Drosophila melanogaster: one gene and its partners. The protein of the gene in region 1 interacts with the protein of each later gene in a pairwise test. Each region holds a gene or a part of one and is shown on either strand. Other genes may lie near its edges.

Region 1 (9,436 bases):
ATTATAGAAAAAGGTGTGTTAATTATGATTAGTTTTCACAATCCACCTCGACCTGTTCTCGTTCGCACAATTTAATTGAATATTTGCAAGCTGTTGGCTCGTAAAACAGAGAATGCGAACATTTTTATAGCTTAAAGCTTAAATACCAAATCAAATATATTATAATTAGCAATAAAGAACAACAAAAGCGGCAGCGGCAACAACAATATGCTAACATGTGGCGCAAATAAAATTCAGATCCGAACGGCAACACCTCCTCAATAAAGCATCGTTATCCTCATTATCATTATCAACAGCTTCGAACGAAAACCGGATTTGGATTTGGGCATGAGTATTGGACCAACCTACACATAAAAATTCATTAAGTATATTAAAACAAGCGCAAATTAGAAATGCAATACCGGAGCGACTTCGATTTCCATTTTTATCTCATAATCTACGAATTTTGACGCTTTTTGCCACCGTTTTTTCAAAAAGAAGCCAGCAGCGAGTCAGCAAAAAAACACCTAACATTAAAAAAAAAAAACACTTCTGAGGCACAGACGCCGACAACGAATGTGATTTGATGTTGTTTTGGCCCCTTTTGTTTTTGGGTGAAAACGTGCAAATCCCATAATTTAATTGTTTCAGCATTTCAAATGTAAATTTATGCACCAACAAATCCAATCGAAGACGAGGAGAAACACAAAGCGCTAATACAAAACTAAGCCCAAATTAGTCAAAAAGCCGCTTGAAACGCGGCTTCGTGTGGCTGGTGAATTATTTCGCGCTGATTTGGCTTACATTATGCATAATATATGCATCGATTTCTATGAATGGAAGCCAAATCGATTCGTTGCCCCTTTGAACTATCCGCAACGACTGGCTAGATAAATTCTCTGTGGTCCCATCTCCTTCTGGATGCACTTAAAAACTTAATTAAAAATATTAAACACGAAATGTTTGGCGCCACCGTTTAGGAAACGCTCAAAAGTGGACCGCACACATCCACGGAGCGCCGAGTTATCAGCTCAATTATGCAAGCTGAAAGGCAGCCGCCGGGCCACAGACAGATTTGTCGCATTTGACACGATAATGCACACAAGGAGTGACCACACCAAAGTCTCTCCAACCGACTCGGCATCGGTTTCTGTTTCGGTTTCTTGGCCAGCTCCCACTTCGTTTTGGCCTGGCCAATGGCCATAAAAGGTGCGATAAAACGAAAATTTCACAAGACGGCAACAGCAGCAAGTGCACTGCAAGAAAAGTGCTTCGATTTTGAAATGATCAGATGAATGTTGAATTTTTCTTTCTTTAAATTTACTTTAAAAACCATTTCTATTAGCAATACCATAAGCCAAAACTTACTTAGTTGAATTGAAATGTGTGATACTTTTTTTTCTCCGTGCACCCACCTCTGCGTCATCTCTGTGTCCCAGGGATGCGGATGGAATCGCAGGGGAGCTGGGAGTCGGCAAAGACCAAACAGCCTGAAAGCCGTCAAATCGCTGCTCATAATGGACGCCTTATCTTTGGAGAATTGCTTTAACTACTACCGGAGTTGGATGTTTTTCAGATACGTGTGACTCGAGAACCGACTGGTCACCATAATGGAGAGCATTAATTTGTCTTAGGCCCGCCAAAGCGGTCGCATAACTGCTTTTGGCCCAGGCACTGCGATATGGCCAAAAACCTGTAAAAACGGAAACGCTGAAGGTTACCGTTGCTCCCCCCCCCCCCGCAAATAGTTTTGCATTTTCTACGGATTCGATGTCTGATTTGTTTATTTTGACCAAAGACTCTTAAAACGAATTAACAATGTATATGATTGCAGCTTGGTTCTTAAACGATCTTATATGTAGCATAGATTAGCTTACAAAGTATATGCACACGTTTCTCACTAATCACAACAGAAGATGACTCCAACTTAAGTATGTTTACCAAATATTTCTTTCAATAGGCCAAAATGGCTGAAATGCTGAAGCTATTTCTTTTCGTTGAGGTTGAAGGCCTTGGTGATGTTGTGGGTGTGCTGGAGCCAACGGGTTGCGAGGCCACAGGACTAACAGGCGCGACAGTTGGCGCATATGTGGCTGGTGGCATTGGCAGAATCTGCGGAGGAACTCCACCAAAATAGGCAGCTGCAATGCTGGGCGGCAATCCGGCAGCTCCACTGGGTCCATAGCTCAAGTGATGGCGGAGATACGGCGACATAGGATTGGCAACTGGATGAGTTGCTCCATAGTAAGCTGGCGAAACACTACCCGTTGAGTCCTGCTCAAAATCCTGGCGCTGGCGCTTCGCCTGCGGAGAATCGCAGCTGCTCACACTGGAGCCATCATCCTCCGACTCCAGCGTCGAGTTTCCGCTGCTGTTCAGCTTCCTTTTGCAGCGGGATTGACCCGACTCGCGGAAACCCTTAGCGAACGGATTGTTATCGATCTTCAATTTGGTGATGCGATCGTTCTGCAAGCATGAGAACAAATTTATAAATTAATTTAAGCACATAAATGATTAATTACTATCAGTTTTTATACAACAATGAATTCTTAAAACGAATTAGCTCTAAATGTATTACTTTTAACACTTGAATTTTCAATTAGATCGTAAAAAGGAACAATAAATAAATTTACGGCCTTATAAAAAAGATTTGCAGATTAAATAAATATGTAAAAAAACGCGTAGTTTTAAATCTAATTTAAATAGTATGAAAAACGATCTCTATTGTTTTTGTCTGGTCGAAATTTAAACTACGAGGCGTCAGTAAGTAGCCGTCGGCTGGGAGGGCACTTGAAAAGTTCCACTGTGATCCTCGTTAGGATCAAACTCAAGTGGCTGGCTAGGCGACAAATTTGAAAATGCCTCAATTAGGCGACGACCCCCGCAGAGTCTTTGTCCTGTCAGACATGTCCTCAATGGAGGACGGAAAGGATGTTGTCTTTAACCCACCTGATAGGCTGTGACAGCTACGAACTCCGTCTCCGGGAAAACGAACGCCTGCTGAGGAGCCCATGGAAGTTGGGTGAGCTCGCTGCTGCGGATGATGTGCAGGCGTGGCTGGTACTTATGCATGCTGGCCAAAACGATCTGGAAATGTTAATGGAAACTATAAGTAACCCATTCAAAAGATACACTATGAGCTCACTCAAACTTACATGTCCGCTGCTGTCCAGTGTATTGTTGGTCAGTTTGACCTTGTTGAAGAGCAATGCCTGGGATTGCCAATGGGCACCGGTCGCCGGACTGTCCGGATGCAGATACATGCGCTGCGGACTCTGGGGCTCGGCTCCTCCGGCCGGAACCCACTGGGAACCGGAGAACTTGTAGCGGCAATCGCCAATGGGCACCATCTCGAGGAGTACGCAATAGCTGGCCTCCTCCTCCAGTCCGCTGAGGGAAACTCGCATCGAGGGGAACATGCGTCTGTAAGGATGAAAAGAATAGGACTTGATTAAGTGGCCTGCCACGAACTGCATATAAATCAGGGAAGGAGCATCGCAAAAGAAGGCGTCGCCCGGGCATCTATTCTATTTTACTTCATATCGCCTGTGATTTGTTGCCCCGGCTAACAAGTGTGTAATTATGGACCGAAAAGTAGAGGGCAGCGGGGAGTCTGCGTAGCGCAACGCATCGATTTAAAAGGTAACGCAAACAGATCTTGCCAGCCCAAAACAATATGCCAACGGCACATGATTAATTGTGTGGATCGTTGGTTCATGGAGGAGCACGGGGAGCAACAGAGTGCTGGAGGAGCTGGGGCAATCTGGCGCCAAGCAATTAGACAAAATCTGGGAGTCGCCCTAACGGCTTCCAAGCGTCGAATGCATGTCTAATGAGCCGAGAAAGTGACTGTTATCGCGGATTAAACAGCACAGAAAAATAATATTTCTACTGGATATTAATCATTTTCAATAAAATATTACGAAATATATATATATATAACAAATATATATTTATGTTCAAGATCTCTTGATTTCTATGATGCCCAGCCATATTCTAAGCCTTGGCCAAAAATAATGCTTGTAGTTGCACGATTTCTTTCCGTGTACATTTGCAACTTAAACTTCGAGTTCAGATCATAATTATGTAAATTTGTCTCGGCTCCCGCTCGGTAGTCGCTGTTCGATAGTTCCCCTATCTGAGATACGCTAGGGTCTGGTCTCATCGCTTTGGAGAAGGGTCACGGACAGGGCATGGAATGGTATGGTATGGTATGGTATGGTGGTATTGTGGGCAAAGTGTGAAAAGCGCAGGTAGATCGACCAAACCCGATTGTCAACGCCGAAACCGAGAGAAGAAAGATTTTTATGATCGGACCGGCGCCAGGGCGGCGTCTTGCTCTTGTGTTCTCCTCCGCCGACTACACTGCACTTGTTGTCACTCCGAGCGAGAGCTCCTGCTGCGTTTTGAGTTATGGCCAGGCGCCACATTAGGCCCGGGAAATCGAAAGGTTCAGGGTATAGGCATACTCGTACTCGTATGAGATAGGAATTGGGAAAGTTGGCCCTGGTACAGGAGCAAATATTTACATAGGCCGTGCGACGCACTTGACTTTTGGAAAAACTCGGGCTATTTGCATAGGATAATGGGTTCGCGGGAAAATGAAACTTACCGGCCGCTCTTTGTGATGATCATCTCGGTGCCGATTTTATGGAACTGTTGCCACAAATCGTTGTTCTCCAACTTGGCCTCCACGCCGGGCAGGGTGGGACGACTGGGCAGCATCATGTGCGGCTGCTGGTGGGGCATGTTGAAAGGTAACATCGATGGAAAGGGATCTGGAAGAAGCGGTTTGGTTAGTTCATTAGCATGGGTTTGCAATGGACCTCTTCAGGGAGGTGGGTGTTGCAGAAATCATATTTCTAAGTTAGCTGGAATTTCGCTATCTATTGTATTTTATCGGAATATAATACCTATTAAGATATGTTCAATCAAAGATTGAAAATAAAGGCAATGCAGTTATGACCACAATTTCTAGTTATAATGATAAGTTAAATTGAAGTAGAATATTTATTGCTCATAAAATCCGAAGCACTAATAATAATCACAATATTAAAACACTTTTAAGTACGCTCTTTTGGGTTGCATATATTTTCTCATATTTTTTAGTTTGAAAATCGCGAAACCATTTGCCGACGGCATTCGATCAACACCCATAGACCTTATGTCTAGAAACGCACCTGGAATCCGCTGCATGATCTGCTGGCGGTAGATCTCGTGGGCCAGCTGCTGCTGCATCCGCATATCCATTAGCTCTTGCATGGAAAGCATTTCGAAGCACTTGCACGGTGTATAGCACTTGGTAAAATGTCTTAGTACGTTCTGATAATAACTGGTAGTTTGGAATTCTTCACTGTTATTCACTCGCTCGTAACTGAAGATGCGCTCTGAGGTTCTTTCACGCTCGACGTTTCGCAACGAACTGATCTCGAGTAGCTCCGCTCGAGTGCTAACTCGCCGTGGGTCGCAGCCAGTTTTTCCCGATGCCAAGCAGGTAGCAGCTACGCTTGGAAAACCGGTTCTCCGTGGGCAGCGCCTGTGATTGGCTGGCGGAAGACGCCTACGCTATGTGGGTACTAGTGTTGTCCCACTCTGGCGAAGATCGGTGGATCGACGGTGGGCGCCATTTTGTGAGCAGCGGAGGAGCGGGAAAAGCGAACTGCGTGCAGCCGAGTGGCGAAGTTAACGCTTAGCCCTGTTGATTTTCATCAGCCGCAGTGTTTTTCTGCGCCACTGCCTTCAAGCCGCATTCCCTGTCTCCCTCTCGATCACTGTCAGTTAGGAGACTTGGATATATGTATGCATGTATGTATATGGATGTGGATTTAGCCGGGCTATGGCGTTGCTTGTAATTCAGAAGTGAGATTTTCCACAGCGCGCCTGTCTGCTGTCTTCAGCTGCCGTTGCCTTTTCTTCTCCTCTCGGTTTATTCTTTTTTTTTCTTGTGTGTCTGTTTCGTTTTTATGTTTTTTTGTTGGTTTTGGCGCTGTCGGAAAATGTCCGTTGCCATTTCCATTGCAGCCGTCTTCCGTTTGGGCGCTGTCCCTCCGTCGTTTGCCATGCCCCCGTGTAATTAGCTGGGTTCCCTATCTTCGACATTGTCTGGCATTTCTCGGGTATTTATGTACTTTGCTGCAGACAGGTGAAACATAAATTTTGTTGGCTTTGTTAATTGCCCGTTTTGGAATTTCGATATGCTATGCCCTCGCTATTGATTTGCCCAAAAAAAAAAAAAACTGAGAAATGGAAAATCGAAATTCATATAGTTTTTGGGCTCTGGCTCGAGGGCCTATTGATTAGTGCTTGTCAGCATTGGAAATTGAGGGCTTAAGTGCCTGCGGGTGGAAGTAGATTGAAATGCACATTCCTATATTCACAGGAAGTATTATAATTGATACTTAGTGAGCCATTGATCATTTAAAACACATTGGACTGAAATACGTTAACGAATAGCTATATTATTCTAAAATATATTAAGACTTACTTACTTACTTAACTTAACTTATTCATCAACGCAAATTGAAAACATGCAATGATTTGTAATTTAAAGAAAAAGGAATAACTTAAATCCAATTTATTTGAAACACCATTTTTATAGAACTTAATTTTTAAATGGTTCTTTATCATTTCCCTTATTTCTTGTGGTCTGAACAAATTTTTGTATTTGGATAAAATAGAAACAATAACTCTGTGAAGATTTATTTGCGATTTTTAGTACTATTACTTTTACTTTAATTACTACTTTAATCAGTTGAACTAATTATAGAATTTGATTAGTTATCTATCGATTTTCTTTCAGGACAAGCTACATACAATTTGGTTCAAATGCCATTGATCTTGAACTTGATTCAACTCATAAGTGCATTCATCAGACAAATCTGTCGACAGACATGCGTTTATTTCCTTGACTCGTCGCCAGCAAATAATTTCAAGCTTGAGTTCGCATTCAGTGGACTAGAAAGAAAGTCAATGTCGAAGAGCCTCTATTAAATTAGCATTTCGCTGTCGCCCTGGCACGCTCTTCCGAGTAATGCCCATTCCCATGTCCCAGTCTCCACTGCAACTCCGGATCCGGACGAGACGGCATATCTCCGGTGCTTGGCCAGCTGATGATGATGACTGGAGATTTCTGGCAGCGAACGGCGCCAGAGAATCGTAAAATATTTTTATACAAATATCGCAGCAGTTAGAACAAAAGATTTGATTTGAAAATGTAACGCTTCACGCCTGCAAAAATACCGACAAAGAAATGTCACACAAAAGACAGTGGGATGCAAGCAGATCTCTGTTCAGATACACTAGGTGGACCTTCGGATAAATCAGGTGTAATTGCGTCATGCGGGTGCATGGTAAACTAGATCGACAGTAAACCTAATCGAGACAGAGACACATAAGTTGACGCGACATCGGCACAGCCCATAAAGTGACCACGCTCCTTGGATTCCAAGGATTCCCAGGACAGGTCGTTTTGCGGTGTGTCTCGCCTTGCTGGGTGTGAAGTGTCCCGTGGGCGGCGGTGTCTTTAGTTGCTCAAGATGCATGTACCTGAGCACAGTCGTCTGTCGCCAATTGAAGTAATAATTTTCTATTGTCCTTCGTCGCGCCTTCCTCCATAAAGCAAATGTACTTCAGAGCACTGAGAAGGACGCGACAAGTGGCTGGCTCTGGGTACTCTGTTCGGTTCAAGTAGCCAAGTGGCGCCAGACGATCCAAGTCCCTCGGCCAGAGGACATCTTTGTGAGTCCGCTATCTGCCGCCTTGGATCTGCAGATGCTGAACGGTAGCGGTCAAGCTGCCAGAGGTTGACAACGACATATGTTCGTGCTGGATAAGATTGGGCCAGAGAAGATTAGCTGCCGGGGAGAAGGGATTTGGATTGGGTATACGGGTGGACGGAAGCTCTCGAACAACCCACACAATCTCTTAGGCAAAAGGTAATTAACATATAACCCGCCCATCAAAATGACCAGCCATATTCATATATTAAAAGACCATCAGCTTATAAATGTCCATAATCATTGAGACAGGTTACATTTCCCCAGTTCGACAGATCAATAAATCATGGACAACCCTAATTAACCAGTTCGTGGCCACGAAAACCCGTGTGTCACCTGCCTGGATGCTCGAAAGATCAGATGATCGTGAGCTGCCAAAACTACAAGTTACACATAATTTACCACGGACAAAAGGCAAATGTCATAAAATAATATAAATGATATAAACGACACTGTCTGCGCCTAATAAGACAGGGCGTGGCCAAGTCCAGAATCCATAGTCCTGGGAAAACGGCATGGGCATCAAGATGCAAACTACACGATAAAGTTAGCTGGTTAGGCGCCTGCAACTAAATGCTAAACGAGTTAACCCGCTGATAGAGATCTTCACTGTTTTTTTTTTATCCCCAGGTTTTTTTTCTTGGTTTTTGGTAGATACTAAGCCGGTGCTCAAGGTGCGTCGAGAGCATCATTAAGGCAGGAAGGCAAAGGTAACTACGGGACGGGAGTCCAGACCACAAGCAACGATGATTTAATTTTCCAACACGCTTTCTACCACGCCAGCATAAAGCATCGTTGAATCTCAAAATCTGGGGTTTTGAATTTGGATTTTTCTCGTTTTTTTTTTTTTTTGCTTTTTGGTATTCCATGGATGATCGATGGCCTGTCGTTGAGATGATCACTTTCTGTAGCTGCCTAGCGGCTACTAGTTGAGATACTTAACGACGATCCAAGAGGGCGCCACTCGGGCCTTATAATTTGTTAAGATGTTTGGATCGATGGATGGATGGATCGATCGATGGATGATTGGGGATGCCTGGATTGATTGCCCTTTCTCTGCATAATATTTATGTATGTATATTTCTCACGCGGCGCGAGAGAGCCGCATTCTCGTATGCATTTTGGGCGACCGAAAGTGCTTTTCTGGGCTACCGATAATCGCGGCGATCATCTGCAGTAGGAGACGCCATCATCGCCTTATCAGCGACTCGGCATCTGAGAACATTAAATAGCTACTTAAGATACAGCTTCCCGACGGCTGCAGTGGTATCGCTTCCATGCCATATCGATTACCATTAAGCCGAGGGCAATTGACCTGAACCCAACAGAAGTCGAACGGTGTGTAATCGATACGATCGGCTATCTATGGTTGATCTTTTGCCAGGCAGATATTTCGCAACTGTGTCGGCATTTTCAGCCTGTGATCACTGATCAACCTAGCCATGATCTATGATTGCCCCGGGCCGTTTGCCATTTGCCAGTTGTTAGTTGCCAAATGCCCGAAGCCTCCAGCTACACATATATTATATGTACATATGTACATACATACATATGTACACCCATTTCTATCGACTCATTTGGCATGCCGCTCACAGCTCACTCGCACTAATTAAAATAAATTCTGTCAGACATTCTCGTTTAATTTTTTCGCGCACCTTGTTGCTTTGTTTTTTTGACCAGAT
Region 2 (8,330 bases), on another chromosome or scaffold:
CAACGACTTCAAAATGGGGAGTAGTTGGGTATTCACAATTTGGTATTCAACTGTGCGAAATTCTGAACAATAAGTCGTTACATCGGCGCGCACACACACACAGATCTGTAAAGAGAGCCACGGATATTCGAGGATATTTCCACCCGCTAACCCTGTTGGCCCCCGGAACTTCCGGTTCGGCGATATGCGCCAACTTGCAGACAATCATTCGGTCTGTGGCTGTGCCCTTTTCTTGGCCAAAATGGCAAAAGCTTAGCGGGCTTTGGCAAAGCTATAAATATGCCGAGATATGTTCATGAACTTATTGCTGCGTGGGTGTATGAGCCGCGAGTCTTGCCAGGATTGGTTTAATTTATGAGCTGACTTAATTTATTTCCGCCAAGGACAAGTCAAATTCGATCGAAACAAGTTAAATTGGCTTACACAACATAATTGCTTAGAAGTGGCATAATTTGTCTCCTTATATCCGTTAAACTTGTCAAAAAGTAGTCGAAATTTTTGTGATTCATTTTTAGATACTTCTACTTGCCAACTCTTAAAACATTACGAATATTCAGAACTATAGTTACCCGCCGCACTCAAAAACCAATTACATATTTGGGAATTTGTTTTCTCAACTTAACGTTGTTCTGCGAAAAATCCACTACATAACAAACTTTTTTTCTTCTTCCTCAACATTTGTTGTTCGCCATGGACATGAAAATCTACAAGAACAATATACCGACCAAATAATATAAAAATGTTGCCAAAAACAAGAACAACGGGCCACAAGAGCAACAAAAACAATGGCAATGGCAATAAAAAGAAACATTCAACTCTCGCAACTCATACAACTTGTCAGAAAACAGAGAGAGAAAGTGAAAAGCGTGGAAACTGCCCAAATTGGGGGGAAAATTCCGAAAAGTATGCAATATTTTTTTCCAGTTGGTCCTTCAACTTTTCGTGGCTCGTTGCTGACTTGGCAGGCCCGACATAGTAATTAATGCCTGTAAGTGGTCCGCGTGGGTGGCTGAGCATAGTTGTTGCCACTCTTTTTAATAGGCTACTTCAAAAAACCTAGTGTATGATTTAACTATGGAAGGAATGTTTATTATAGTATGGTTATACGAAAAAAAGATTTGTTTCAAGAATGGAATCATTTTGTTTTTATAGATAGAGAAATACCGGGTATGTGATAGTCGAGACCTGCACGAGCTATCTACTCATCAGCAGAGTGCTTGGACTTGGCTTGTTAATTGCATGTTACCAACATATGTTCGCTTGTAAATGTGGATTTCCGCCCATCCCCCAGTGGGGCAATTAAAAAATGTTACCAAAATGCTCGGCTGCAAAGACATTTAACTTTTCTGAAATTGCGGGTAATTTCGTTTCGTTTCGTTCTTTTCTTTCTTGCTTTCCATCGGATGTTTGTAACACATGGCGTATGTGTGTTACGGCTACAGGCGCTAACTTTCGGACAAACTTTGCTCTTATCAGCTGGTGATAAAAATATAAGAGGGAAACAAAGAAAGAAAAAAATTGGAAAAACCTCCGTAAAATGAATGTTCGTATGGGATGAATGGGGATGTGCAAGTTTTATAGACACATCTGGCGGTTGGCTATATAAATTTCAAGTTTGTTGCTGTTTGAAAGCTAAACGATTCCTTTTTTTCCTAGCTGTTGCATATGTGTGTATGTAGCACACCCGATGCCTGCACACGCATGTTTTATGGCTTTAACCATGGGAGGAGGAGTATTTTTTTCCACGATAAGTTGACCATTAATGGTCGCCAAATGCTAGCAAATTGATGTTCACGCTGGGAATGGCTTGCGGTTGCCTTTGGTGGCATAAAATGCTTACATATACATATTTAAAGCCCTTTAAATGGTTCGTGGTTATATTATGTACGAAGAAAATATAACACAATAATATTTAACGCAAATGTATGGTTTCACTTAAAAAAAGTTAAATGCGAACAACACTTTTGGTATTTTATTATAATATTCTTTGGTAACTTGATACTTGTGTGGCCTTTGGTGCAAGTTACTTAACTGAAAGTCAGTTCGTTTGAACAGGCTTAATTATTCAACGAGGTCTGGACGTTTGGCGATTGTCACGCCCTTTGCTCATTACTCACTTAGGCCAAGACAATATCATTCGATTGGGCCAGTAATTACCAGTGTCATTGAATGGCCCACACATCTAACACCCAAAGTGATTAGGCACTTTATAGCCGAAAAGCGTTGAATCACTTTGCAGCTCACAGCTGCGGTTCTCGTTTGGTATTGCCTTGCGTGTCTTTGCGTTTTCCTTAGAGTTTCCTTTTGGCCAAGGCCAAGGTGTTTTGACCTTTAACCGGTAAGTAATAGTGCCCAGATGTGCTGCACAAAATGTTTAAATTTAACATATATCATCTACCAATATTTATTTTGTGTGCTGTCATCGATGCTCATTCCAATAATTGAATATTTGAATGATCAGCCATTATATGGCGTCCACTCACCAGGTTTTTATTATATTTTATTTTATTTTTTACAGTTTCCAAGTTCATTTTTTCAATGTTGGCTCGTGTGAATTTTATTTATAACTTTTCTATTTACAGTTTCGTGTAGCATACATCCCGGCGACCGCCCCTTTGCCCCGCATTCACCCACTTGCAAAACAACAGCAGCCACTTTTATGTAGGCTCTGTACCTGTATCTGTGTGTGCGCCGTGTGTGTGAGTGGGGATGTCTCTGTGTGTGGATGAATGAAACTAGAGCGCACCTTGATTCTATTTTTAAATGCCACACAAAACAACAATTGTCGCTTAGTTGCGCGTTAAGTGTTTTTCATCCAGCTTCCCGCGACCAAGTTCATTTTATTCTTAGGATGCAGATGCAGCTTTTCTCGGCTAGAAGCACTTAAAATAGTTGGCCAGGGATTATATAAATAGATGACAGCGAATTTAGTTTGGCAAGGACCTTGTCGTGTAAAATCGCTTAAAATATATATATTAAATCTCCATATATTTGATTAATTACATAATGTGATTTACACTACTTGAAGTTACTTTTCAAATCGGTGAAATTAGATTACAATATGACCAAATCAATCACGAATCAATGTCGCACGAGTTGGAAAACTATGCCAAGTTGACTTTTTAATCGGCTTGTGCATCTAAATGGAATTGGCATTTATTTTATGGTTTATTGCCAAGCGGCACGATAGTTGCTTTTGTTGCTTATCAATTGTTGCGCACAACTTTTGTTTGTTTGTTTCCTTTTAACAGCTTGTCACGGATTAAATGACACGGAAATTGGGTTGAATAATGGGAATTTTTAATGACGCAATTTAAACGCCATGTAAAAAGAGTTTTACCACTTCTGGGAATAATTCATTTTGTAATATTGTTAAAGAAAATAAAACAAACAAATCGTATACTCAAGGAATATGTTAGTATATTCGATTCTCACCCATATATTACCGCAATGCTAAAAAATAACATATGTAAAGCTTCACTATTTTGGAAAATTATAAACAAGTTGTCGACACTTCTGCCAAAAGTTAAAAATATGTATGAACAATTTAATATATTTTCACAGTGCCGTAAACAGTAAACAATTGCAGCCAGGTGCGTCTTCAAACACAGATTCTTATTTGTTTAAATAAATATGAAAATTAACATTTCAATAGTAAATCGAAGCCTCACATCCAATTTTAAATATAATCTCACAAAAATACTCTTTGATGCGTTTTTTAAACATTTTCATTATTTTCCTCAATTATTGAATGAAAAACCTGGCACAGCTCAAACTTCAAATAGAGCCCATAAATATTTTCCATAATTTTGCGAAAAATAAACAAAATATTCCAGACTGTTTTTTCGCATTTTTCAAGGTGAGTGTGTGAATTTTCACTAGCCTGCGTGTGTGTGTGTGTGGGTGCCTCTGCGAAAATGCGATGGTGTGCGTGCGTGCGACTTTGGCGCCTAGTCAAATAAATCGCATGCGATTAAAATTTTATACAAATAGCTTTAGAAGCGTGCGTTTTGCTTTGTTGTGTTTCATTTGCCGTGCCATTTCCACCTTTTCACTGTTTGTTTTCCATTTTTTTTTTTTCATTTCTAGTCTTAAGCTGCGTTGTTTTTGGTTTTTTTATGGGGGCATGGCGTCAGTTAAATGAGTTGTTGTTTATAGTTCTTGAGCATGTGTGCGAAAAATTTGCATTTGTAGCGTAACGCTTTTGTTTACTTTGTAGGTTAGTTTGTTGGCCCATTGACTTATATACACACACTCGGCTAAAATATAACATATATATTTACCTTCGATGCCTTTTGATGGTGACGGCAGCAGCGGCGGCGGCGGCGGCAGCAGCGGCGTTGACGAAGAAAGCGGCGAAAGCAGACGGAGAAATTGGCCAAAACGGAGATGAGGGAGGTAGGAGGAGTTGGTGATGGCTGATGGTTGAGATGGGTGGTAGTGGGCGGTTGGGTGGTGGTGGGTGGTATTAACCTCAAAGCATGTCAGCAAACAGCTCCTCGAAAGCACTTGACTTGACTCCTTTCGATATTTATATTTTCCTGCCCTCCTTTGCGTGCCTCGTTTTAATTTGTTAATGATTTGGGCTTATTCATTTATTTGCATTATTTGGCGCTCACTCTTCCTAACTCTGCTTATTTGGTGTTATGTTACATTTTAGCAAAACTTGCGGTCCTGTCTCAACGATTGTTGTTGCTGTGCGGAAAATGCCAAGCAGCAAATGTAGCACGAGCAGCAGCAGCGGAAAAAGAAACAAGAGGAAAAACTGTATCTTTTAGATCCGGGCATATCCTTTATCTCGAACAGCGACTGCGACGCTGGCTGAGGCAGCAGCTGTAGCTGTAGCTGGAAAATTTCCTCCAACTTGTTTGTCTAACTCTCGCGTTGCTTTTCAAAACGATGTTTTAGCATTTAAGTTAAATTTAAAGCTGCAAGCTGCAATGATACAGCAGCAACAATCGTTTCCATATATAAAATCCAGCAAAAGAAGAACTCGATAGCAGCAAAAACCGCGCAGCGTTTTCCCCGTTTACCGTTTCGCCGTCAGACACACACTTTTCCCACAAATAAAGCCAGAAACCGTTCGACGCGCGCACGCGAGTGTCCTATACACAACTGATTACAGGACTGCGAAAATGGAAAATGTTTGCCAGCAGCGACGCTTCGGCATTCGGTTTTCCCTCGCTCGGAAAATCTCCGGCTATCGCAGCCAGGCTTCTGTTGCCGAAATATCCGGAGCCACTCCGCCGGAGACGGAGAGCGAGTTCGCCGGAGAGTGGGTGCGCACTCACTTGGGTTGCGGGCGGCACATAGGGTATAGCATAGCCCTCGGCGGTTACAGTGGACTAAGTAGCCACATAACGCATATAATTAGTTTGAATTGTAATAATATTGGAAGAGCTGTTTTAAATGGCAAATATATTTACTTGACTGACAACGTGGCGTATGAGTAATTTTTAAAATATGTTACTAATGAAAGACAGCCTGTTTGTGACATTTAAATTCATGACAACTATTATTATATTGTATATTATAATAAAATAATTATTATTTTATTATAAATGATTTTGGATAAGAGAAGGAAATATTTATTTACAAAATCTAGAAATTGTTGAATTTATATCTCGCACATAAGAAGTACTGCTGAAAGCATCTTTAAGATAGTTATGAATCTTCCAACACCCTTGAAAGTAGCCCACTGTGCAAGCAACACTCATATTCCTCATTCATCTTGCTCAGCCCGCACAATTGGCTGCCAAAAGTATTGCCACACCAGTGTCGGCGACTTCGTCCTTTCACTTGAACGCCAAAAGTGAGGCAGTCTGGCAGCCTCTACTTTTCTGGTCCTGGTCCCCAGTGAGGGTCTTCTTCTGTTACGCTGCTGTTATCCTGCAGACCGCGAGGGTCCTGAGAAATGACACCCATGAGTTCAGGATGAATACGACGCCACGACAGCCAACCAATCCTCCATTTCGCACATATGTACATATGTACATACATCGCACATACCTATAGTGTACATATGTATGTACATATGCTCGTCTGTTGGACATTTGCACTGTTTTTTTTATACCAACGAACGGACGCGTAGGGTTTACAGCCAAATGACAAGTGCTTAGTGTTTTGCATATGCGTGTGTGCGTACACTGAGAAAAATTTAGTTTTATTTTTTTGATCTTTTATTCGTATATAATTCTCATAAATAACTCGAAATTATTTTATTTCACATATCTTACAAACTAAATGTATATTATTAAAAAATAAACACATTTCTATTAAGTTGATGAAAAATTTTTCAGTGCTGGATTTAGCGGCTTGATACCCCCATTCTCATTATTCAAGCTGGAAAATGGGCAGCTCGGGGATGGGGACAAGTGTTTGAAGCACTTGGCGCACGCTTGAGCGGCTTTCAAATTTAGCGTATTAACTCATTAAATGTTCAAAAGCTCATTGCCTGCGAAATGTGCACACATTTCTGTGAATGCGAGCGAGGGTGTGAAATATGCACAAGTATGACACTTTGGCACCGAGGGGAAGACAGTTTTAATACCGCTTAATGGGCAATCGGGCGGAAGAAGCTTGAAATAAATAGAATTCCCTATACTCCTAACAATATCAAAATTTTTAATTAAATTTCTAATGACCATGGAAGAACGCTCGGGGACCTAACAATATAGGGTACAGTACATAAAACATGCTGTGAAAAAAGGGGTAAAAACAGTTGTTGCCTTGAGAGCTGGCATAATTAGTCCTTCTTTCGTATGCACCTCTTTATGCAATTTAAATTAATTTGTGTAATTATTTTAGTGACTTAACTGGCCTTATTTCAACACCCTCGCCCGCACCGAGTGACCGCTGGCAGCAGTTGGCGTTACGCATACGCCACGTTGCATGCGTCTTAAATATTTGATGGCGGAAATCTGGGGCCCGGCAAAAATGACAGCTGCGTGTTGAAAATAATTAAGGCGCAATTATAATGACCCTGGCCACGAACCGCAGGCACTCACCACTCATCACCACCGTTGAAGCCACCCCCATCCGTTCGCCTGTTGGCATTGCAATGTGTTGCATGCAACACTAGACTTTGTGGCGTCGCCAACAATGACGAAAGCAATCCATGGCCATCGAGCTTGTGCGCTCTGGCAGTTTCCCATTCCACTCCACTTATGCAAATTGATGCGAAATGTGGGCTAAGATTTATGCTTAAATCTTTTGGAAGGACATTCTGCAAATATTTACCCAAAGAAATAATTTTAATATTCTTATTCTGTTTGCAGGAAACACGTTTTACTCAATTTGTTGTTGAACAGCAATACACGATCACCGACGACATCCTTTAAATAAATACAATATACAAAGTACAATAAATAACTAGTACAAAATTCGGACCATGTAGGTTTGTAATTGATGACGTTTTTCAGTTGAGACATGGATGACACAAAATGCTTTGCAGGGAAGGCTTGGTGGCCGCCCGAGATTTGGAGATGGGACTATAGGCGAACAGTCAGTAGTTTAGTTGGCATTGGCATCGATTAGGGGAGGCACTTCGGATATATCAACAAGTGACTTTGCGGTGATAGCGTCGCCATCACCTACGAGCTCCTGGGTGTCTGTCGCAATGTCAACGGTCTGCTCCTTTTCGTTCTTAACGTTTGAGGCATCACCCGCTGCCTCTAGCTCGGCCTTTGACTCCGTTGCGGCTGATTCCTGAACGCCGTTCGCCTCACCGTTCGTTGTGGATGCTGCAGCTTCCGCCGCCGCTGCAGCTGCTGCCTTTGCCTTGGACTTTTTCTCCTTCTTGCGTATATTCTTCTTGGCATTGTTCGCCTGACGCTGCTCCTCGGCCTTCTTCTTTTCCTCAATGGAAGTCTTCGATTCATTCGTCGTTAGCAGCTTCATTTGGTTCTGCAGATTTGCCAATGTTTGCTTCAGTTCCGCACAATTGCGAGACATCATTTCCATTTTAACATTTTCAGCACTAACTGGCTTGACGTTTACTGGCTCTGGTTCAGGAGGCAACTGCGGCAGGGCGGGTATTTCGATCTCGTGATCCCGCAGGCACTTGTGCAGTGTTGTCCTCTCCAGCTGTAGAGCACGCAGTAGCTTCTGCAGCTGCTGTATTTGCTTCTGCAGGCGCTCTGAGTGCTGCGTCTGCAGACTCTTTTCTGTGGCTAAATCGATCACCATGGCATTAGCTTTCTCGTACTTTTGCCGCCAGCCCAGCGCCTCCTTCTCGATCTTCTTAGTGTGCTTGGACATCTTCTCAAGCTCCACCTTGTAGCTGCCGAAAACCTCATTGGACTTCTGCAGCGACTGCTGGAAGTCATCGT
Region 3 (6,995 bases), on another chromosome or scaffold:
GCCATCGCAGCTGGATCTTCATTTTATGCCCTTGCTGTTCGGTAATTTGGCCAGAATTTTACCCCGCCGCGTACAGTGAAACTTATCTGATCCACTGTATTCATAACTTATGAATCTTGAAATTTGAAAGTTCATGTCCCTAAATTTACTTTGCTTGCTTTGTAAATGCTATCTATGCCTTAATTTATTTAATTACCTAATGGGCAATAATTAAGTAAAGAAATTATTTGTTGCAAACTTAAGCATAATAAAATATATCAATTTCAATCCATCTATACTTTTAGGGTAACTGCAGTTTGGCTACCCTTTTCGTTGGCCATTCATTTCGTGTGTTTTTGCCGGCTCTTTTTGCTCTCTGCTTCCCTTTTTGCACATCCGTTGCCGTTTGTGCCATTTGTTTATTGCCAGTTTTATTGCTTCATTGCGAAAACTGGCGAGCTATACTCTGCTTATCTACCCCCATGCCCCACCAAGCCCGTGGAAATCCTGCCGCCTTCTGCTCGTTTTTGGTCCTTGCAGCTTCATCTTCATCCGCATCCGCATCCACATTGCTTCTGCTTTATTTTGGCTGATGGAAATATTTTTACGACAAGTTTTTCGCGAAGATTTGCAACATTTGCAGAAAACGGAAACGGCAGCCAGCCAACGGAAGTGGATGTGGCACTGAAAGTTGCGCAAATCAGCGCAAAAACAAAAAAAAAAAAAAAGAACGAAACGAAACGAGGGAAAACCCTGGGAGTGGTCTCTGCTCAAATGGAACGCACATTTTGGCCATAAAACGCTTAACGTTGATGTGTTCGCCTTGATCAACCTTTGACCCCGGCTCAGGCTGACCCCGGATGTTGTCAACTTTTATGCTAACATTACATTCGGTGGACAGCATTGGAATGACAGCCGTGCCCCGCACTTTTCGCGTCCATGAATTTTGCATGCGGCAGCAGAATGCAAAATTATAATTAGGCAGCCGCGTGATGCGAGCGAAACAAGAGATATGGCCCTTTCTTCCCTTTCTCCCCTTTCTCCACTTTCTCCCTTTTTGCTGCCAGTCCGATTTTACAGTCAACGCACGTTCGGGCATAAAGTACATTTTATTAGCTTGCCTTTTGCATCGGCCATCGGGTGGGTGGCTTAGTGGTGGTGCTGCATCACTTCCAACTGGCCTCTAATTTCCAGCTGCCGGATGACACGTAATTGGTGTGACCAGGGCACAGGAAGTTTCGGGAGAAACAATTACGTTGCATTCGTTGCAAAGTGTGATCAGCAAACGAATAGCTGGAAAAAGCATTCACATTTAATTACAACTTTGGATAATGTACAACATACAGGCAATTGAAGGAATCAATTGTACAATAGTTTTGCAAAATTAGTGTGGCCAGGCTGTGAAAAGTTGTCACTTAACTGTTTGCCTTAACGGAGAAAATAATTACACGAATGTAATTAGTTGATGTAAAAAGGTAGTTGTAGCACATTTAAGGCTCCTGCTAATTCAAATCAAAACGATTCCCTGCGAACCTTCGAAATTATTTTTGAAAGCACCAAAACACTTTGGTCACACTTAGGTAGATACCTTTCATACGATTTGATTCGCTATAGTTTCTCCCCCGCTGGCAACGCTGCGTATGCGTAATAATTTTTTAGTTGCGCCACACCCGACACGAAGCCCATGGCAATGCAAATAAATATTCAATTGCAAATGGCTGAGGGGGCGGACAGTACACTCCTCTCTTAGGCTGTATTTTTTTTTTATTGTTGGTTTTTTTTTTGCTATAAAAGCAAGGGAGAAAGTAGGGAAGGTACACGCGAGGCGGACGCGCTCAAATTGCAAATTGCGCTCGTTTACAAGCGAAATAAATGCGCGAGCGCCTGCCATTTGGCAAAAGTCAGCCATGCTCCACACACAGATCCTGACCCACCGCATTTTCCGCTTTTCCACCGATTCCCGCCGCCAGCGAATGGCATTAGAAAAATGAAGCGTCGTGCCGCAAAAGACAAGTTGGTCGTCGTCGTTGCCTCGCTCGACTTGCTTGGCATTTTTGTGTTGCGTGCTTTTGGGCGCGTAATTAGATAAGCAGCCAGCCTGGATATGGGTCCTGTTTATCCATGCCCCAGCTCCTTGCCGTGTCCTGGCACGGTGTCACCAGCCAGCCAGCCAGCCAACTGAACAACCAACAAGCCGCTGACAGATGGAGCGTCATAAAAGCGGCAACAACAATGCGCCGCAGAATGTCTGAGGTTAGGAATAGCGGCAAAGTGGTGGGGCGGAAATGGGAAATGGAAAAGCCGAGACAAGACCAACCAACCAACCAACCAACCAACCGACCGACCGACCAAGCGAGCGAAAAGGGAGTGTAAAGCGGTGACGGGGATTTGAATTTGTCACGTGGCCGGCAAACGCACCTGGGCACAAAGGGGCGGACAAGGACACAACATGCAATTATACGCAATCAACATAAATCATTCAAATTGCCACGCACACACACACACTCGCAGAAGAGGGAAAAATAATGGTAAAGAAAAGTCGAGACGCACTTCAAAAGGGGGCGGCTGTCGGTGTGGGCGTGGTGACCGTTGACGTTGGCTTTTGGCTAATTTGCAATTGAAATGCCCAAATTCTGTGGGCTGGCCGCATTACGCATACGCCGTGTGGTGTCTGCGTGGCAAAGGCTCCTTAAACTTCCGCTCAGTCCATTCATCTTCCACCCCCGCATTCCGAGTCGACTGACAAATGCCACAGGGGCACGTGAAGCGGCCAGTGACCAAGGTAAATGGCACCCATACTGTCCATAGAGATTTCTTTATAAATTTCCTTTATTTTATTATTATTTTTTTTTATTTTTTGCAATTAATTACGGAATAACCTTGCAGATTCGTATACTATTTCTAGTAATTGCTGCCTTCGGAAAAATCACTTAACGCCAGGAACTTAAAATTTAGAGCAGGGAATGTAGCAAGAAAAAACAATCGACGTTATATTGCCAATGCCACGTATTTGGCGAATACTGAATTCCTAGATTTTGCCAACAGTGCCAAAGTTCAAATGACAGTTGCCATGGTCCAGCTTATAAACCGTACAAGCCAAACGGAGCTAATCAAGAATCCATCAAAACCATCGTCCATGTGCGGTACACTGCAATCGCTTCAACGAAGAATCTGGTTTATGCATCACCATCAGTCGAACAGAACGTCCATCGGTATGCCATAAATCTCGGCCAGCTGCAGTTTGGTGTAGGCAACAACGCCGCTGGGACAGTAGGCCATCGCCTCCTCCAGAGTGACCCACTTGGAGCTTGACTCACCGGCACATACCACATGCAGATAGACGATACCATCGAACATCTCATGGCTGATGATGCCCATCAGGTTGCTGGGGGTGCCGCTACTGACGTTTCCGGCGGTGTTGCCACTACCGTTACCATCACCGTTACCGTTACCGTTTCCGCTTCCGCTTCCGTTTCCGCCAATGATGTTGCCGCTCTGGCTCCCAGCGCTGCTCATTCCATCGCCGTTGCCACCGTCGCTGCCGCCACCGCTGCCGCCACCCACGCTGCTACCGCTGGCATTGGCGTTCGAAGAGGTGGACGGATTCAGATTGATGACCATCCTGGAAGGGCAGCGGTTCGGGATATCTATGAGGCAAATATCGAATGCAGCCAATTAACTGAGTGTATTTATAATTATTTGGATCTAGTAAGCCGAAAAGTATTTCTTATATATATTTAACAACAATACTTATATTATAAGTGATAATTAACTCACCTGAATATAAAACTATCAAAAGTGGAAAAGAAATCGGATTGGAAGCAGTTATCAAAGTGGCTCAATACTGAAGCTTCGTTGCTGGTTGCTACCTTTGGCCTTCTGGACGGGATGGTCCGTGGTTGGATTCTCGGTTAGTCCTTCGGAAACCGTAAACTTTGAACTTTGAACCTACGAATTTTGTACTTTGCTCGGTGCGATCCAATGAGACTCTGGTGCAGTGATGTGCTGCTTAGGGATCTGTTATACACTTCTCGACGTTCAAGTCGCACGCGATTCTAGTGCAACTCTCTAATTAGCTAGATACAATACCAAGTTATGATTTTTGTTTCGCTGTTTGATTCTTTTTTTTTTCGATTTTCCTCTATTTTTTTTCACTTTTGTTTAAACGGTGTGTGTGTATTTTGTGTCGATTGTGTGTGTTGACTACCTAGATGATTTTAACTTATGAAATGAGCCATGACATTAATCTGGCATTCTTTTCAAAGCCAGCTGGTACATTTTGTTTCGACGATGAAATGAGAGACACAAATATCGCGAATATTCAAGATTTTGGTAAATTAATAATTCTTATGGCTATTTCATTAATTCATGACACTGCACATTCTAAGTTAGACTTTAAAGTAAGTGCAGTAAGTGTACTATTTAAGTGCAAAAAGGCAAACAAAGTTTTCAAGGATTTTTTTTTTTAGTGTTTTCCTCAGAAAATCCCCATACCATTCACAATTTTTTGACATCGCCCGGCAACACGGGTGTTTATGAATGTGCCATATAATGTTTTGCTTCTGCCAGCAGCACCAAATGAACTGAACAAATAAAACTTTCACGGCAAAGTTGTTGACACGGCAGCCTCCTCCTCTTCCGATTTGCAGCTGCAATTCCTCACCTTCATGTTCACGCTTAGCTCTTTATTTACGATTGCAGGTGCAATGCGGGAAAAGTGCAGGAAAAGTATGGGAAAAGTGTGGGAAAAGTGTGGGAAAAGTGCGGGTGTGGGCGAGAGGAAAAGCAAAGTAAAAGCACCAGAGCTGAGTTTAAGTCGCGGGAGCAGGGGTCCCAAAGCAATTAAATCGCATTCGCCGTGTGGAAAGCAAATAGGATTCCGGGTGGGGCTTTGAATGTGGAGTCCGGACAGAGACAAACAATCAAACGGAAATTAATTGCGGTATGTGTGAAAAGTGAAAGCCAAAAGCTGTTCGGTAAATGATTGTCGAGCAGCGAGTTTTACCCCGGTTTCCCCACGACGACTTTAATTCTTAAACCCTGATTGATAGCTAACCTCGTCCTGGAGCAATGACTTCTGCTCTCCAGCTCTTCAGAATCGAAATGAAACCAAGATAGTATGCTGACATCCGAAAAGAAGTAAATTTTTACCACTGCATAGCCACACAAAGCGAAAACTTTTACACAGCAACCATGTAATAAAATAAGTCTTCAGAATTCGATGGGTAATCTTTTCAGCTGCTTTTTGGTCATTCAATATATGCTTTTCGTATTTAGAGGCATTTTGCTTACTCATTGAACTTATGTATGTGAAACACAGCAATTTTCCACACTTGTGTCATGGCATTGCCAAAAAGCGATAAGGGCGAAGGGTCGAAGTTTAATTAATACACCATTACGTGCTGTTTTTGGCCAACAATGGGTGGGTAAGCTTACCATTCGTTTTGAGATGCGTTGCAGCCCAATTTTGTCAACGTGGCCATAGCTGTATCCACATCCGGATCCGGTTCACAATGAGACGACGACTCATTGGACCGGCAGTGAGTTATATCAAAGACACTAGAATAACAAGATGCGTAACGGCCATACATTGGTTTGGCACTATGCAGCCACTTTTTTGGTGACGGCCAAAATTACTCTCTTTCCGCTCACTCCCGCTGAGAGCGTAAGAAACCTAAAAATATAATTTGCTTGCTTGTGTGAGTAAAAACAAGAGACGAGAACGCGTATAAGTGTGCGTGTTGTGCTAGAAGACGATTTTCGGGCCGAAATCAATTCTGATCGAAGAAACGAATTTACATGGTACATATTAGGGTAGTTTTTGCCAATTTCCTAGCAATATGATAAAATAAAAAAATTTTTTAAAATTCGCGCCCTGACTATTATAATTTTAAAGCTTTTTAAATTTGTTTGTTAAAATTGCCGCTCGAATTAGCTACCGTTTACACATTTATATTTATGTTTAATTCTAATTTTTCTCTCATCTGACAATTTTTTAAAAGCTAAATATTTTTTTTGAAACACTTTTAATGTTAATGTTACATCATATTAAGTCAAATGATTTAATAAATATACTAAATAATTAAATATGCAATTAAATGAAATTGCAAAAGTAATATCAAAGACAATAGAATTATTCTAGTGTCTTTGCTTTGTTCATATCTTGAGGCACGAAGTGCGGACACAAGCACTCAACAATCATTACCTTATTAATTTTTCACACGCCGCAAGATGAATACTCTAATGACAAATATTCTTATATAAAGTCATTTTTGAAATTTATTTTTGTGATAATATGTACATAGATTTGAGTATTTCTAATCTATTTTCAAATAATAATAACGTTAAGGCAATGCAAAACAAGAATTTTTCGCATGGTGCCAATTGATCAAAAATAATATAGATTTAAAGCCAAAGAACTTCTAAGGTGAAGGGCATATTTTTTCAAATTTACAATGCATGTGAATACGTGTGCACACATACAGATGTCTGCTATCACTTTGTGCGTTGAAAAGAGCTGTTCGCTGTAGCGCTCTTCGCTCTCTCGCTCTCTACCAAAAATTCGAGAGAGCCTGGAGCCACCTCTAGAGCCACGGCCAAAAAATCGTGTGCCAAAAAATCGTATGGCGTTACGCATCTTGTTATTCTAGGGTCTTTGGTTATATCTTCATGAAAGATTTGACAGTTGCACCAGCAGTCGCACCCAAGGGGCCAAATTGAGTACGTGGAAGGAGTATCGCCTCCATTGCCTCGGTTACACGCCTGGTTTGACTCCAGCATCCGACGCTGCACTGCTCTGCGCCATCCAAGCGTTTCATATTGCCACCTGCCACCCAACTGTGCCACATGCCACCAGCCACCAGCCTGCAACCTGCCACCTACCATCCCACTCGCTACCCACTTGCAGTCGCACTCAGTTCATAATGCTGTCAAGGTTGAGCGATGCTGAAATATTGAAGCCTGCCCTTTAAATATTCACGATATTCGTGGCTTGATGGGCGGTATTGGCGTTGGCT
Region 4 (8,352 bases), on another chromosome or scaffold:
GAAAATATATTCCATACCAGGCTCCGTTTTTTTTTACCCACTCAGCGTCTTAAAGAAATGCAAAAAGAAAAAAAATAGCAGCAGCTAATTTGCCGCCGGTTTGGGGCAACTAATTTCATATTAGATGGGCGCCCACGCTACAAAATCGCAGTTTTTGCTCGTTTCCCAGGCGCATTCCTGCGGACACCGCTCATTAATGACCATGAAATCTAGACTCTGCCCCGGAGTCATTCCCGCAGACTGACCTCCAGGCACGAGCCGCCCAGAAATACGGCTAACAGCTAACAAATCGGGAGCAGCTTCTGTTCACCTCGTTTTTTTTCTTCTTAGCATGCCACCTAATGATTCGGTGGCACGCATCTTGGAATGCGACGCCTTTGGCTGGATGGGTTTTGGGTTTTGGCCATAATTTGATTAGGCAAAAAGTTGATGTGGGTGTCAGTCCGTCTAGCAGCCTCTCTTTCAGCTTCCCTCATTCCGTCGAAAACCGGACCCAAATCATACCACAACTCGAACTGGATTCCATTTCAATTACAATATAAGCGAGTGTAAGTTCTGCGATTGCGATCGCATTTGGGCGCATGGTAAACCAAGTCAATCGGAAGAAGTTAAGCCGATTGTCCCGCCCCTTTTCATTACAGCTCGTTTTTTGCACCCCCTGGCAGCCGCCTAATAAAACCGGAGCAAACCCACTTCCGTTGCTCATTTGAATGCCCTTTGATGGAGGGTATGATGAAATATTGCATAGACTGGTAACCTAAACTTTTTACTTTAGAAACAGTCATGAAAAATGTATCTATAATGTATTTAATGTTCCAAAACGTACCAAATTTATATAGCTATTTGTCTTTAATTAGATGGTCAGATCATTATTTAATACATATATAATTAGATTTCATGTTTGGATGGATTAACGTTTAAATTATTATAGTTACATTATTATTTTTAAATTAATTTTTTTTTAATTTAGTGAAAGCTATGCATTTTAGAGATCTGTTTGCAACGAAACGAGCTTGATCTATTTGAATTATAGGGTACTTTCTCTTCGAGTTGTATCCTTTAACAGTTTTTTACAGCCCAGCTAAACGCACTTCCCACACAGATTTGTGTGTGTGCGCCTTAATTGGGGCGTAGTTGGCTTTTTGGGCGCGCCGACCCGGAGTTTGGGTAATTGCTGCCACTTGAAAGGCTCCGGGTCGCATAATCGCCTTGTCAGATAGGGCAAGACACACGTTGAAGGACCCGCGGAGGGGGTGGCCCATGAACAAGCATACTGGGCGTTGGGCGTGGCCAGTTGGGTGGGCCAGTGGACTGAAGGACCAAAGGACTCTGTGCCAAAAGAGACAGAGAGGTGTGTGTTGATGCCACCACGCACGGTTGACTCGCTTGATCTTATTACGCCGCGCTTGGTTGCCTGGGAAAAGTCAGAGGCAGCTGCTCGGATAGCTCGGATGGCTGGTAAATGGCAAATGGTTACCGGCAACCCGGCCTTTGTGACAGTTTTATCTCTGGCCAGCAGAAGCTATTGCCAAGCTCTTGCCATCCTCCTGCCATGGGAAAGCCATCGCGCTGAGTGGGCCTAAGAATTTTGCATGTTTTCGCACAGGTTTTTGTGGTTTTTGGTAGCAAGTGGATTTGCATACGCCACGCGGCTCCAAAAAACGGGTTAGGCTTTAGCCAGTCTTGGTGGATCAGGAGTTCCCCCTGCTAGGGACCATTGATTTCCTAGTCATGGCAACTAATTTCCATTCATCATGTTCGGTACCTCGAATGGATCAATAATCCGGACTCCTCCCTTGGAACAATCACAAACAATGTGACAGCTTTATCTTTCAGCACCAGTCGCCGTCGCAGTGAAAATCCATTTCCAATTGTGAATGCCGAGCGACAATTGTCGAATTCAATTAACGCCTGCGGCACCACCGAGCGTTACTTAACGCCGACACCCACCCAACGACCTCCGCCTCCTGCCGCTCCTCCTACTCCTCCTCCTCCTCCTCTCCCCCGGGAGTTTCCAGCGGGTGGGCAAGGACGAGCCGTAGCTGTGGCCGTAGCTGTGGCTGTTTCGCCAGGGTAACGGCTATGCAGTGTCACAATGCGGATGTGGATGTGGATGGGGTCCTTGGAGTGGGCGAGATACATACACTATCAGTTTCTATGAACCACACGATGCAGGACGTGGGCGGGGGGCGGGAGTGAGAGCGTTTGCGTGCTGCGTTGCCTCCGCCGATTGGCCGGAACGCGGCTGCAACGGCAACGCATCGGCTGCGGAAACGGCCACGGATAAGGCTACGCTCTGCCGCAACGCTCTCTGGCCGGAACTCGCCGACCATCCACACCAAATTCTACTACCCCCAGAGCGTTCACAGAGCGAAGGCGGGCTGCACGGACGTCATGCAATCGCACAGTGGAGCAAAAGTTGCAAGCTGGATTGTACTGAACTTGCTCGGTTTTTGCTCATAACATTAAGTTTGTGTACCAAGTTAGAAAAACAATTTTGACACTAAACTATTAGTTTCAAATCAGGTGGCTCATTCTTAACATTTCAAAGTAGCTTTAATGTAAAAGGTCATGGTATCATGCTTCTATAAGGTTTCCTTTCTTCCCAAATATATTACAATGTAATCCTAAAAAGTTTTGAACTCTTAAATCACAAAGATAGTTTAGTTAGCTGCACTTGAGTATCATCACAATTTTTACTACTAACCAACTAATCAACTAACCAGATTAGCAATGTTTATCTACAAAGGTAACTGCGTATTAGTCACTCTCTGAATATAGTGGCTTTACGTAATTACCCCTAATTTCAATGCGGTTTTCTATGCTGTTGAAATCGACCTAGCCCACTAGCCTCTAGCTTCACACTTGACCCACTGTGCCCGTGTCGATTTCGCTCCCGGAGGACGTGTCACCTGGCCCCCACCCCTGCTGCCGAATCTGGCCAATGGCAGCTCACCGTCGGCGCAGCGTGCGACGCATGCGCACCGGGCCAGCTCTCTGATTGGCTCTCATTGGCTGGCGGTGGGCCAAATGGGGCTGAAACCGACGCGGACGTCGCAGCCGTGAAAAACCGGTTACACCAGAAAAACGGTTCGTCCGTGAGTCCGTGAACGCTTGTGTCAGTGTGTGCGGGCCGCGTATTACGAGTGTGTTAGTGAGCGGCGGCTTTTCGGTGGCGTTTTGGGCCGCTCTGCTTGGCGGCGCTTCAGTAGAAATTGTCGGCTGATGGACCGCGGGCGAGGCACGAAGCCAACTCTCAATTTCCACTGCTACCGCCACTGCCACTGCCACAAAAATTGATCGAATCGATGCGCCGGTCCCGCGATTCGCGTGCAGTTAGTCGAATTTTTGACGGTCGAGTGACAAGGTGCGTCGCGTTCCGAACTCCCAAATAAGAATCATACAGAAGCCATTAGCCGTCGCGCCTCCGAACTGAGTAATCGGCCATTATCCGCGGAATAAGCCACACGGTGCATGCAAAACTCGAGCGGAAAGTGTTGTGCTCAAGTGATCAAAGGATTCGAACCAAGTTGCGGCAAAGTTATTGGATAGCCGGCGAATTCAGTGCTCTAAGTTTAAGGTGAGCACATCTTTTGAATTATATATTTCAAAAGTATAACCATCTAGGAAAGATACTATTCATGGAAGATTATCCGTTTTTGGTCAAGCTTTTATGCTTGCACAACGTTTTTAAATTGAGCTTCACCAAGTTATGTTGAATTGGTAAAGTTTAAGTGTTCATTTGCTATCTAGATTATAAAAAATAGAACATAAAAAGATAAAAAACTAGCAGATTCAAGTATCTGTTATAATATTCCATAGATCGTTTATAACGAATTGTCATTATTATTGGCATAAATTAGTTAGAATACATTTGCTTGGATCTGAAAATAAATTTGAGCTTTTATTTGAATCTGCTTCATTAAATGAAATTAGATGACAACTTTATTAGTTCACTGACAAGTTTTTAGATTGTATATTTTGTTGATTTGGATTTTACGCCAGATGTGCTATCTCGTTTTCTACTCGAGACCAGATAAGCTTAATTGAACTTGGTGAAAAGTGCACACATTGCATTTTGAGTGCAGACACATTCTAATCCGTAATATTATGCCAACACTTGACAAAAGCTAACGACGATGACTTATCGGCGTCTTAATTAAGATCTGGTCGCATCCATCGACCTGCCCATAATGACCACCATAAACGATCGTAATCAATTTGTTTGCGCATAATTTGCTTTCTCAACAACTAAATCATTAAAAATCGAGTCGCTCCCGATCAGGTTGCGGCGTTTTTGAAAGACTTTAATAACGATATTTGCTTATCGAGTTCGACACATCGGTCTCAAGTCCGACCTCGTCCCCCCAGACCCAACGCCCTGCCATCGATCGGCTTATTTCTTAATGAACGACGATCTGATCTAACGGATCGAGTCTGAACGGAACCAAACGGGGCGATCTTCATTCAACCGGCGGCGTTAGTTTCGGCCAAGATTCGATTCCAATAATATTCGAATAATATTCATGTTGTGAATGAAGTGGAAGATGCCACCGGATGGCCTGAATCGAATTTGCAATGCAAAACTACGGCCAATTGAACTTCCGCCGCACCGAGATAACTCATTTAAAGCGGACCAATCGATCGTTGGCCAGACTGCCAACGATCGATGACTGCCTTTTTGGCCAGACTTTAGTTTTCCCACGACCACGGCGAGCGACAAAAGTCAAAAATCGTATGCTAATTAATTCTTTGTCATGCCGTCGTTTCTGGCTGCCATTATGGCCCATTGACTTGTGTGCTTTCTAAGCCAAAGCCCAAGCCACCGGCTTTCGGGGCTTTTGGCCATCGGCAACGAGGCAACGAGCCGTCGGACAACTTACTTAAGCGTGGTCCAGAAAGAGCAAGCTAATCATATTCAAATGGTGAAGCGTACGTTTTATTATAATTTTTTTATTTTAATTAGCGGCTGTTAATGCCCCGCTTGGCTCTGGCTTCGATCGATCCATTGATCTGCGGGGGGGGCAGCAAATGATAAAAAATAAAATCAAGGGAGAGGGTTCCGAAACAGAAGCTCGGCCAACCTGTCGGTTCCACTTTCGGTAATCGCACGAATTTAAATTATTGTATGTTTAACTAATTTCTATCGGTTTTTATGTCTGTTCCGCTTGACATGTGCACGGAGCTAATTGAGACTTACGAGTTGAGGATTGTGGAGAAATCGGTAGCACTTGGGGAAGATACTAATTATACTCGTATATTATCCCCCCTGAAAACCAGAAAGCGGTTCTCGAGAACCCAGATTAGCAACATCCCTATATATATAACTCGCAATTTGGCCTCAAGATCGCATTCAACATTTAAAATTGTAGCCGTTGTGGATCTGGAAAAAACCTTTGCTACGCGTTCACATTTTATAAGGTCTCTTAAAATTAGAGGGGATTTTTTGGTCTCACCAGATACTTTGGATCACTGCTTGTTAGTTAGATTAGATATATTTCCAAAAGTAATACCTCAAATTTAGGTTTTTGTGTTCTGCAAGATACATTTTTCAGCATTCTAAGGATGGATCGTACCCAATAATTGATAATTAACACGTGTAGAAGTGGCAAAGCAAGTGGAATAGTCGCATATTTCTAGGGGTTGCTACTATGTCCGGAACTATTTAGTTTTGACTGCTCACTGGCCTCGATTGGGCCACGAAAAATTCCAGAGAAATGGGCGAGCAGCACGCCAGAGGGGAAATTAACCCTTTCATTGCGGCCAAATTGGATTTGGCCGGAATGTCTATTTCACTTTCTACAAAACCGAGTGGATTTGCAATCCTTATCGCACTGTCGGCCAAATCGTGGCCCCGGGCCAACTGCTAACTTTATGGCCTTAACGGCCAGCACGAGTTTCCCGTTCGCGGTGAGTGGTAACCGAAAAACTGAGACGGAGACTGAGAAGGTCCAAAAAAAACCTAATGAACAACTTAATTTCGAGTTCTTTTTTTCTCGTTCTGTTTGGTGTTTTTTCCGTTTTTTTTTTTTATTTCAAAGGGGGAGTGTGTGGTGCGTGCGGTGGTTCGGTGGCTTAACACGCGCATTTCGGTGGTTTTACGAGCTGAAAAGCGGCAAGGGAGCTGGACGAAGGACTCCCGGGCTCGGCAATTAAATCAAATGTGAATTCCATAATAACATGGCCATGACAAAGTGTGGACCGTCGGCCGGCAGTGGCAGTTACAGTTTTTGATTTATACGGTTCTTCAGCGCGTTTTCATGCCTCTGACAGGCTGGCGACAGGCTCAAATCCTGGCCCAAAAAGCATTAAGTAGAAAAAAAAAAAAAAAATAAAAACAGGAAGCGGAAACCACCGGCCGCAAGTTGGTGGTGCTGAAAGCCCATTTGCATATCTCTTTTGGGCCGGTTGCATATTTAACGAAATGAGCAATTGGCCAAAATTCATTTAATTGTTACCCCTGCCTGGCTAACTCTATACTTAGGAGTACGACTATAGCGACCTGGCCTAGATGGAGGGGGGGGGGGGGACCTTCTCGATAATGGGCCAGCAGTTCACGCTGCGCTCGGAATGTGCCTGATAAGCAGCTAATTTGAGATACTCCCTGGCACTGGGCGCTGGGCAATGGCCAGTGGTAACTGGTCACTGGTCACTGGACATGGCCATTGAGCACATAAACCACTGCACATTAAAACCTTCGGCCGCGTAGTTTTATAAAATAATTAAGTTTTATGTATTTTCCTTACTAGATTTTCACTGGTTTTTGGTTTTGGTCTTGGATCGGATCGGTTCTGGCCGGGCCTGGACGCCGTCCGAATTCGTGGAAGCCGTAAAAAGTCTTCGGGGAGTGGGCCGCCAGCATCATCCAGCATCGAACATCAGTTCGAGCAACGCCATTTGGGCCTGAGACTGAGCATCCTAATAGCCCGGCGACCACGACGACATCCATCAAAGCGTTTTTATGACGTTCTTGCTTGAAATTTGATTAAAATTCAGCGATTAACTAAGCAGCAGCAGCAGCATCAGCAGCAACGGGACGAAAGACAAAAAAATTAAAAGACTTAAGACAAACAACCAACAGCAAATAAACCAAAATACTTTACGGAGGCTAAGCGACTGCGAGCGACTACCGATAGCATCGGATCGTATCGAATCACTTTCGGATTGAATTGGATTGGATTGGCTCGCATTGAATTGAATTGTTGATCACATTTCAGCCATGCCGCATACAGGTGAGTCTCGCTAATGAACTTCAAAAGGAAATTAAACGAAAGCATCAGATGCCATCTCCAGTCGCAGTCCCCCATTTCACGTACTCCCCCCTGAATAACCAAAAACTCGAGATCCCACAAAGAGCCACGGTTATTACTGGCGCACTTTTGCCGCCTGCGTTTATGACCGCGGGTTGATAGGAGGGGAGAAAGGTGGGAAAGAGATTAGCCAAGTCAACAGGGCGGTTGCCAAACTGCGGGTATTTGGCCCAGACGCGTGTGCCCACTGTAAATCTTCCAGACTTTATTCGCTCTATTGGGAGGCTTAGGCGCTTTTAATTCCCACTATAAGCTCCATTTGTCTAGCAAAATTTACTTCCAAATATATGGCTTAACACTAACAGTTTAAGACAATACTTTCTAAGTATCTGTAAAGAAGCTGCTAATCTTGTTAATCTTGTTCAAAGCGAACTTAAAGATGGTTCTTTTCAAAGCCTTTAAATGTATATTAAATGGGTGAGGAGTACGTATTGGGACCAGGCAAAAATATAGTTTATTAATATCTAAAATATATCCTCTTCCTTTCAATCCTTTAGGTCAAGCTGGAGTCAACCAATTGGGCGGAGTTTTTGTGAATGGCCGTCCTTTGCCGGACTGCGTTCGTCGGAGGATCGTCGACTTGGCTTTGTGCGGAGTGAGGCCCTGTGATATATCCCGCCAGCTTCTGGTTTCCCATGGTGAGTTTATTACATATGACTTCCTTATACTTCAGATAAAGTAATATATTTTGTGCTTTTCTCGCATAGGCTGCGTTTCCAAAATTCTAACTCGCTTCTATGAGACGGGCTCCATTCGACCGGGATCCATTGGCGGCAGCAAGACCAAGGTAAGTGGGCTCCAAGCGGGAACGGGATTGCGAATGGGGGATGGTAACAAGATCTGGGGGGACGGGAAACCACATGTGGTCCGCTGTGGTGCATGAAATCAACAAACGATTATATAAAAATCAAACGCACAGCAGTAAATCCATAAAGTATCACAGATACACGGAAAGCAGATAGCCCAGATAAGCATTGTAACCAGCAGCTAGTTTACATGTTCTCGACATTCGATGACAGCCTTTATGGCCACGTGTGGGAGT

The links.
Region 2: the proteins of Doc1 (region 1) and CG5890 interact in a two-hybrid assay, tested with the Drosophila melanogaster proteins (one large-scale study listed by BioGRID).
Region 3: the proteins of Doc1 (region 1) and CG9106 interact in a two-hybrid assay, tested with the Drosophila melanogaster proteins (one large-scale study listed by BioGRID).
Region 4: the proteins of Doc1 (region 1) and Poxn interact in a two-hybrid assay, tested with the Drosophila melanogaster proteins (one large-scale study listed by BioGRID).

Annotation. Positions count from the first base shown.
Region 1 is NT_037436.4:9,037,354-9,046,789, reverse strand, and holds Doc1 (Dorsocross1), read right to left. Parts: upstream 5,416-9,436; 5' UTR 5,251-5,415; coding exon 5,160-5,250; intron 4,962-5,159; exon of another isoform or gene 4,893-4,961; intron 4,758-4,892; coding exon 4,592-4,757; intron 3,403-4,591; coding exon 3,135-3,402; intron 3,067-3,134; coding exon 2,929-3,066; intron 2,446-2,928; coding exon 1,933-2,445; 3' UTR 1,748-1,932; downstream 1-1,747.
Region 2 is NT_033777.3:25,852,927-25,861,256, reverse strand, and holds the start of CG5890 (uncharacterized protein), read right to left. Parts: upstream 5,104-8,330; 5' UTR 4,284-5,103; intron 1-4,283. Other genes in the region: CG5886 (uncharacterized protein), read right to left, coding at 7,513-8,330.
Region 3 is NC_004354.4:15,268,231-15,275,225, forward strand, and holds CG9106 (uncharacterized protein), read right to left. Parts: upstream 4,176-6,995; 5' UTR 3,757-4,175; intron 3,685-3,756; 5' UTR 3,601-3,684; coding exon 3,169-3,600; 3' UTR 2,806-3,168; downstream 1-2,805.
Region 4 is NT_033778.4:15,829,911-15,838,262, reverse strand, and holds the start of Poxn (Pox neuro), read left to right. Parts: upstream 1-3,207; 5' UTR 3,208-3,580; intron 3,581-6,749; 5' UTR 6,750-7,219; coding exon 7,220-7,232; intron 7,233-7,807; coding exon 7,808-7,948; intron 7,949-8,017; coding exon 8,018-8,097; intron 8,098-8,352. UniProt on the Drosophila melanogaster protein: Transcriptional regulator that specifies poly-innervated organs (chemosensory bristle). Also controls the number of neurons.